Xenopus tropicalis: one gene and its partner. The protein of the gene in region 1 purifies or fractionates together with the protein of each later gene. This does not show direct contact. Links are inferred from orthologs where the notes say so. Each region holds a gene or a part of one and is shown on either strand. Other genes may lie near its edges. The genes, in order: gtse1 and acad11.

What was found.
Region 2: the proteins of gtse1 (region 1) and acad11 purify together in Homo sapiens (co-immunoprecipitation; 3 studies listed by BioGRID and IntAct, counting the BioPlex papers as one, with this or other methods). This does not show direct contact. The link is inferred for Xenopus tropicalis from reciprocal best matches to the Homo sapiens genes GTSE1 and ACAD11.

What each region holds. Positions count from the first base shown.
Region 1 is NC_030679.2:74,638,555-74,643,007, reverse strand, and holds the start of gtse1 (G2 and S phase-expressed protein 1), read left to right. Parts: upstream 1-1,332; 5' UTR 1,333-1,461; intron 1,462-3,656; 5' UTR 3,657-3,698; coding exon 3,699-3,714; intron 3,715-4,453. UniProt on the Homo sapiens protein: May be involved in p53-induced cell cycle arrest in G2/M phase by interfering with microtubule rearrangements that are required to enter mitosis. Overexpression delays G2/M phase progression.
Region 2 is NC_030682.2:52,961,219-52,964,782, reverse strand, and holds the end of acad11 (acyl-CoA dehydrogenase family member 11), read right to left. Parts: intron 3,235-3,564; coding exon 3,125-3,234; intron 1,656-3,124; coding exon 1,541-1,655; 3' UTR 755-1,540; downstream 1-754. UniProt on the Homo sapiens protein: Acyl-CoA dehydrogenase, that exhibits maximal activity towards saturated C22-CoA.

The DNA of each region.
Region 1 (4,453 bases):
GGCAAGAGCTGTTTGCTTAAATTTTCCTATCCCCTTTCTGCCACAAATACTATAGGTCCTATGCTTACAATAGACTGTCAATCTTCCAATTGTGTCAAATTTACATATCAGAGATGTTATTACAAATCAGCCGTCTCCCTCCCCCGACTTGCCACAGGTACATTTCTTTAAAGAGCGCTAGGGGGAGGGGGTCGGAGGGTTTTGGGGGCCTCTGCACGCACACGGGTGGGGGGGGTGATGGCTGCAAGGGCCATTTAGGGGTGCAGGGGCCCCTGAGGCAGAAGCCCCGGTGGGCCCTGCACCCCCCAGTCCGACCCTGTTAGTAATGTCTACTGCTGTAAACATCAACAAAAAAGGAACAAAGGCACACTCCACTTCAATGCTTCTTGCACAAAAACAATGCAATGTCTACTGCTGTACCATATTTAAGATATTCAATAATCCATATAACCTCTGTGGGATATGTCACATGTATCTATGCTATTGTAAATAATTCTTTTATAAATAAACTTGCCTGAAAAATAAAAAAAACTATTACAATATTTGCCCAAATGTAACAAAAAATAATTACTGAAATGAAAAACCCAATTTACACCCTTTTATCTACCAATTTGCACCCAGCAATATGACATATTTTACTTAAAAATATGCAGTTTCCAGGCTTCAAAATAGTTTTCCCTCTGAAGGTTAGGATTTGACAGCAATTCTTTAAAAAAGTGCTTGCAGCTGAATGAATCCTGAAACAAAATCCTGGTATTTGGGCTAAACAAAAATTATATTAAAAAAAATCACTAATAACACCACAGCAACGGTACATTGTTTCCAGTTGCACTGTACTTAGACTGTAAGCTCTACCGGACAGGGATCTCCTTCCTTCTGTGTCTCATACCGCATAGCACTCATACCTCTATACTTATACTAATTTATTGTATTTTTTATAACACTTGTCCTCCCTGTGTGTAATTTTTTATTATTGTAAGACTGTACAGCGCTGCTACCCTTGTGCCGCTTCATAAAGTTATACATACATACTGTATATGTACATTGACTACTACTTGTTCCTGAACTGGCCATTGGACAGCCTGCCATGCCGCCGTATAACATAAACAAGCAGTACAACGTTCAGCGGTCCAATCACAGCACATTTATACATTTACATTGCGGCCGAAAACTACGCATCCCATTAAGCTTCAGTGCACGTTTCTTACGTAAAATGTTGAATGACGGGAAATTCTTTAAACCATCCAATAGCAGGACGCGCAGTGGTCGTCACGTGATAGGTTGGGATTACTTGGAAGTTTGAAATCGAGAGGCAATTTCCTTACCATACGAGGCTTGTTTGGTGTTGGTCGGGCGGATTAGTGGCTCGCACCTGTGCATTAATTCTACCCTTTTCGGACACACTCACAGCCAAACGGGTAAACGCAGCGAGTGGTGAGATACAGATGCGTGAAAGACTACGTGAGTTTCTCTAACACTTGCACAATTGATTACACATTTTCTCGAGACTTGTTTTTCAGCGGTGGTCTGTCAGACTCATGTTAGCGGGGTATGAATGCCAGTGTAACATTTACATCCTCTATGATACTTTCTATGCTATGTGTCAATACGTGAAAGTATGAACCGCTGTAGTATCATCTAAACTTGGAATGTAATTCGGGGGGGGGATCGGGTTGGCTGCCTATGTCTGGGGATCTGACGCACACAGACACTGGATCTGTTAAGCGTGCCTTCCCCCCGACTTCATTTATTAAGTGACAAATAATGCGATTTTTCGGGGCACCGGTATACCATGGGATGGAAGGGAGGAAACCTTCTCATGAATCTGCCCCCTCCCACTGTCATGGTGGCTCCTTAGTTTATCCTTATATAGTGACTTTGGAACCCCCTTTCTGCCCTTTTTGTGTATGCTGGCCTTTTAAAGTGGGAATATATTCATTTAATCTATTGAATGGACATTGAAACCTAAATTCATTGGGGATGCAAGAATGCACTCTAATGTGCAAGTCTGTTTATGAAAAGGAATGCTAGGAAAGTGAAGTAGGATGGAGGCTCACTGCTGTTTTAGAACATTTCCTGTGCATTTACCTATGTTTTTCTTTAAAATGCCCATAGAATTAAAAAAAAACTTGAATTCTCTTGAGAGGTGCCTAGCACATTGGCCTGTCCATACAGAATTAAGCTTTCCTTGTACTTTTAGGTGGGAGGGATTTGCTTCTGAAAGTATAACATAACATTTAAAGATTAACAAAACCCATTGTAGGCATACAATGCACACACATTTTTTCACTCTCCTCTCCACGAGGCTAAAAATACCTATCTGCTCCTTTTTATTCATCTGAAAGAGAATTGATCTGCCTTTGGCAAGCATTAGTACTGTCTGGTGAGTATTGCTTGGAATGGCTAAACAGCTCCTAAGAGTGCTAATGTCTGTTTGTATATATCCTTTTCAGGTCTGAAATAAGCTCAAATGAGAAGCCAGCAAAAGCAAAGGGTTCCCACTTTTTACCCAGTTAGTGAAATTCAAAGACACTTTCCATATCATTCTTTTTTACTTTTTGTCCAATAGTTGATTCACGTTTTCCTCACTCTTTTCAGGTTGCTCTGTCCTGAATCAGAATGCTGTTACCTGACCAGTAAACCAGGTAGCTGAGCCAGGGCTTGGATGAGTTAGATAGCCATTTGAATCCATGCTGCTCTCCTAAATCACCCCACAGCTTCTCTTGCCAGTCATAACTGTGTGCTGCAATTTTTCTGCATATGCTGCTCAGGCCATAACAGTTTGGAGGGAGGTGAGAAACTCTTTGCAAGGCTGTTGGACACAGGATTCTCGCCTGCAAGCTGAATGTCACCCCAGGCCTCCAGCTGGGTGGCTGTAATTTAAGGGCAAGGGCACACAAATGGTTGCTGTGCTTCTCTCCACCTGCGTTTTGTAAGTAAGTGTAGAGAAGCAGACCAAACACTTTGGGGGCCCATTCATTAAACCACGATTTTTGGGTGGTTAAAATCACGATTGGAAAAAATTTGGAGTAACCACGATAAATTTCTGATGTTTGAAAATGTCACAAATTGTTTTTTGGTTTTTTTTTCGGTCGCACAAAATATCATGCTTGCATTCCTAAAGTCACAAAATTTTTGGATCCGAATGTTTGCAAACGGCACGAAAATCTTTCTGGCTTTGAAACCTTCAATGTATGATTTTGGAAGCCTTCCATTGGACGCAATGGCACTCTACAGCTCCTACCTGGCCAAAAGATAGTCACGATACCAAAGCTTGAATGAATTCCAAAATGGTTGTAGTCTTTGTTAAAAATACAACTTTTTAGTGGAAGTTAAAAAAACCATGAGAAAGTTGTGGAATTTTGACAAAATTATTGTGGACAATAAGTTCTATAAATTCGAAAAGATAAGATTTAAAAAAAAATTAAAAATAATCGTGGTTTAATTAATGGGCCCCTTTGTCTGTCCTTGTTATAAAACAATGAAAGAATGGTCTTGAAGAGCGGGCAGTAAGTTTAGTTTACAGAGGTAGTGCACAGCAAAGGCAAGTTACAGGTATTTGGAAAACATCTGAAATGTAAAAATCTATAAAAAAAATTCCAAATTCTCTTTGCATCTAGTTAAACCTACAGTTATGACTGTGTGCTTTCTTTTAGGTCACCAAAAGTAAGATAAAAACATTTGAAAGGATTATCACAATGCAAGCTGGAGGGGGTAAGGCATAGCTCTCTTTAATTCTGATGTCCTTATTTCTACATTCTGACACTGCTTTAAGTAATTTTGCTGCACTGGGCTCAAAAGTACCATCAGTAGGGTTCAGGTACCTTAACAGAAATTTCCTTTACCTTTTACTTTACATTTTCTTCTCATCATTCACTGCCATTGTCCTCCCAGAAGTTGTGTGGTCATTCTATTTAATATTCAGAGAACCTCAGTGATTTTGCATTGGATCAAGGGTTAATTTGTATTCCCTACCAACATCGATACATGGCACTCTTTTCTAGTGCCATTGAATTGCAGCCATTGCGGATATCTGCAAGATGTTGAGTCAGTTGAAATAAAACAAAAATGTTATTAGTCTAAGGATGCTCAACTTACTGCCATCCACTTTCGGAAACTTCTTTGTTGGTTGGTTGGGTGTTTTCAGCAGCTGAAAGGCCACAAATTAGACTTCCTTGATTTAACCCTTCTGTTAAGGGTTACTCAAAAGTAATGCTTTTTATATGATTATTAATTCTATAAACTGTCTCACAAGTCTTCCGAATGTGGATCCACCCCTATGTTTATTTTGCCATCCGCACAGTGCACCATGTATCAGATGAAAGGGCTTTTGTCAGTACATCTTATGATGGCGCTTGCCTCTGATATGTATAGTCTTGCAAATGAATCTGGTTCCTGTTGATGTACTATTATGAGTAGCAGGGAGTAAGTTCTAGAATGGAAGATGAATATA
Region 2 (3,564 bases), on another chromosome or scaffold:
GATGGTGAAATGTCATTACAATATCCACTGATATATGGCAATTTTTTAGGGATAAGTAATTTTACTTGATTAGAGTAAGGCAGCTTTAGCTGTTTAAGGGGCAAATGGCAGTTTTTTCACCTATGTCTTTCATTCCATTTTATTATTTAATCACTAGCATTGCTAAGAGAAATCACATTTCACTTTCTATTCTTGTGATTAACTTAAAAAAATAATATCAATAGAATGAGAAAGGCACAAAGAATGTATGATGTCATTAAATTATGTTGGTGGGTGTCTTTGTGGTTGATCCTTAGACTATAAATCTTAGGCTATCTTGGGGTTACTGAGAGTTGTAATCCAACACACCCATATGTGTATCCTAACACAGAAAGGAATCGCCAGCGCTTGGTCTAACCCACGCTGTAGTGTTGACCAGCTGCTAGAAACACACTATTGTGCCAGTGCTCGGTCTAACCCACAATCTGGAGTTGACCAGCTGCTATAAACAATAAAAAGCCATTAAACATATGTGTATCCTGCCTGGGGTTAGGGAGTGTAGTGCTCCCCAAGCATTTCACACAGTGGAAACCTAAATCAACCACCATAATGTCTGTCATATAATGCTTAGTGTTATATGTTGAGGGTGTGCTGCCACAAAGTGGACATGTATGAAGATGTTGCCATCTACTACTGTGCTTGTGTTTGGGCTATTTTGGAAATGGCTCTTGGCTGGTTTTGGCCTAGTTTTGTGACTGGCTTTGGCTTGTTTTGCAAATTAGACCTGGCAGCTCTGGTCAGACAGAACATTATACATGGTGCCTGCCCACGTCCGGCTGGATTGGCCAGACAGAAATCAGCACAGGAAATTATTGGCTCCCTTTTCGTGGAAACTATAAAACAACAAAATAGGTCACTTATAACCGCAAGTGCTGTGTGCAAACTGCAAATTTGAATACAACCCTTGGAATGGTAGTAGAGTTGCACTTGTGCAGCACTGGCAGCAAAAAGTAGGATAGATACAATGGCACCAAGTGCAACTATGCAGAAGTGCAAAAATCAGCTTTGGACACAAGTACCTATAATAAGTGGCATTAATTTTATGCAACGTCTGCAGTCCACAGTTCAGTTAGATCATCTTTCTGGGATCTTCCTACTATTAGGTTACTAAAAGTTAAGGTGAACAACCCCTTTAATCGGTTTAGAATCAGGTATTTTTATTTTCTATAACAATATGTTTTCTATAAAAGCAGTGAAATTCCAGGTTTAATGGAGAAGTACATCCTGATGCAATAGGTTCAATAAAAGTCTGGGTAACCCTGTTTTATGGCTATAACTATAAGAAACTAGGTCAGTCAATATATGGTAGGGAAATCCAGTTAAAAAAACCCAAGTGCCCCTTTAAACATCAGCTTCTTAAGATAAGATCTGTGATACTTCATCCTATTGGCATTATTTTATGAGATCTTCACATGCACGCAGGTGGCCAAGTCACAGTCAAGCATCCAGTGAACCTTTTCTTTATGTCATTCGATTTCATTTTTTGAACACAATCCAGCTGTCAGATTTTAGCAGAAAGCCGCTTTGATTGTTCCAATAATTCCAGTTTTGCAATGGCTGAAAGGTGCACTTCATCAGGACCATCTGCTATACGGAGAGTACGAATAGCTGCATACCTACAAAACACACAGCATATATGTATATATTTAACTTACATTCTGCTTGTGAAAAACACATGATAAATACAAAGACCAATTTGAGTGTAATGGAAACCAATTATATTGTTTAGCAACAGAATATTAATATCTATGTTACCAGTGAATACTTCAACCATTACTACATCCACTAGTGCATGTATTAAGCAGTGATAAATCAAAAGAAACACAGTAATTAGAATGGTAATAACTGTTCCTTCTGCAAATCACCTTACATTAGTGTTTGTTAAGATAGAGGCCCATTAGAGTCTCGCCACCAGCCATGGAAAGATCCCTGTGGCCTAGAGTAGACAGTACAGGTATCGGACCCCTTATCCGGAAAACCATTATCCAGAAAGTTTTGAATTACGGAAAGGCCATCTCCCATAGACTCCATATTAATCAAATAATTCACATCTTTTAAAATTATTTCCTGTTTCTCTGTAATAATAAAACAGTACCTTGTACTTGATCCCAGCTAAGATATAATTAATCCTTATTGGAGCCAAAACAATCCTAGTGGTTTTAATTACTGTTTAAACATTTTTTTTAGCAAACTTAAGGTAGGAGATCCAAATTACGGAAAGACCCCTTATCTGAAAAACCCCAGATCCCAAGCATTCTGGATAACAATAATACCTATATTATAAATAAATGGTTCACATTTCTATCAGAATATCCCCTGAGACTAAATGGAGGACACAACTTAAGCAATTGGCAAACAATCTTTATGTCTGTGATTGGTGCCTTTATGCCTGTATAATATAAACCCCTTTAATAAACAAAGTCCGGTAAAAACAGCTGCAAACTATATAATTGTATAGAAAAGTCTGGCAAGGATGTAAATCTGTCCCCGTACATCTATGTGCAATATAAACAGTAAATAAATAATCCCTTCCACTGACAAACAGACGAGAAGCACATTGTTCCTTTTGGGGAAATAGGATGAAGTGTGAGGAACCTGGAACCTTGAATGGGGGTGGATCAAAACACAGTGATAAATTATTGCTCTTTGATTCAGAGGAAGGATGTGCTTAAATGAAAAAGGAAACAGATTGAATTGGAGCTATGAAACAGCTTTTCCTTGGAAAGAAACTGCTGTGTGTCAGTTTGTTTTCTGAACTAAACCTGCCTATAATAGCTTTCTCAGTGTCTTGTTACATTCCAGGAGGGGCTGTCATTCTTAGGGATTTTCCATTTACATCAATACTCCCTCTCATTTCTTTTTTGTGTGAATAATATTGTCTTCTGTGCACTCGTTGGTACGTGCAAGAGAGCACACAGCTCGGGGGAACATATATATATATATATATATATAACCACAGATTACTTAAATGTAAATTCAAATCATCTTTCCATTAAATCTTCAGTAAATCTTCCCTTCACATCAGAGTTGCACTCATCTTGCTACAAGAACAATATCAATGAATTATTTCCAGAGAATTACTTACATGGATGCCAGGGGGAAGTCTTGGGAAACCCCAGCCCCACCAAACACTTGAATTGCACGATCTGCAACCTTGCACGCCATCCTTGGAGCAACCACTTTAATCATAGCAATCTGCAACAGGAAAAATCTTTTCAGCAGTGTGATTCATTGTGGACTGTATAATACATAGATCTCACATGTATTTCCTATGCAAGGAAACTAAGCAGCTGCTCACATTAAAGTTTCCGTTCTTACAAAATATATTGTTTCTATAAACATTCAGTTTCTTTATGGACAGAATGAGACTATAGTATAGTTAAAATCAGTCTGTGACAGTTGGCTAGTGCAGCAAATATGGGCTGGCAGAAGCCATCCAGTACAAACTACTGCACCATAACAGCCACTATGGTTAGCTTGGTTATATAGAAGATAAGGTATTTTGCAAAATCTAGAACTCCACTT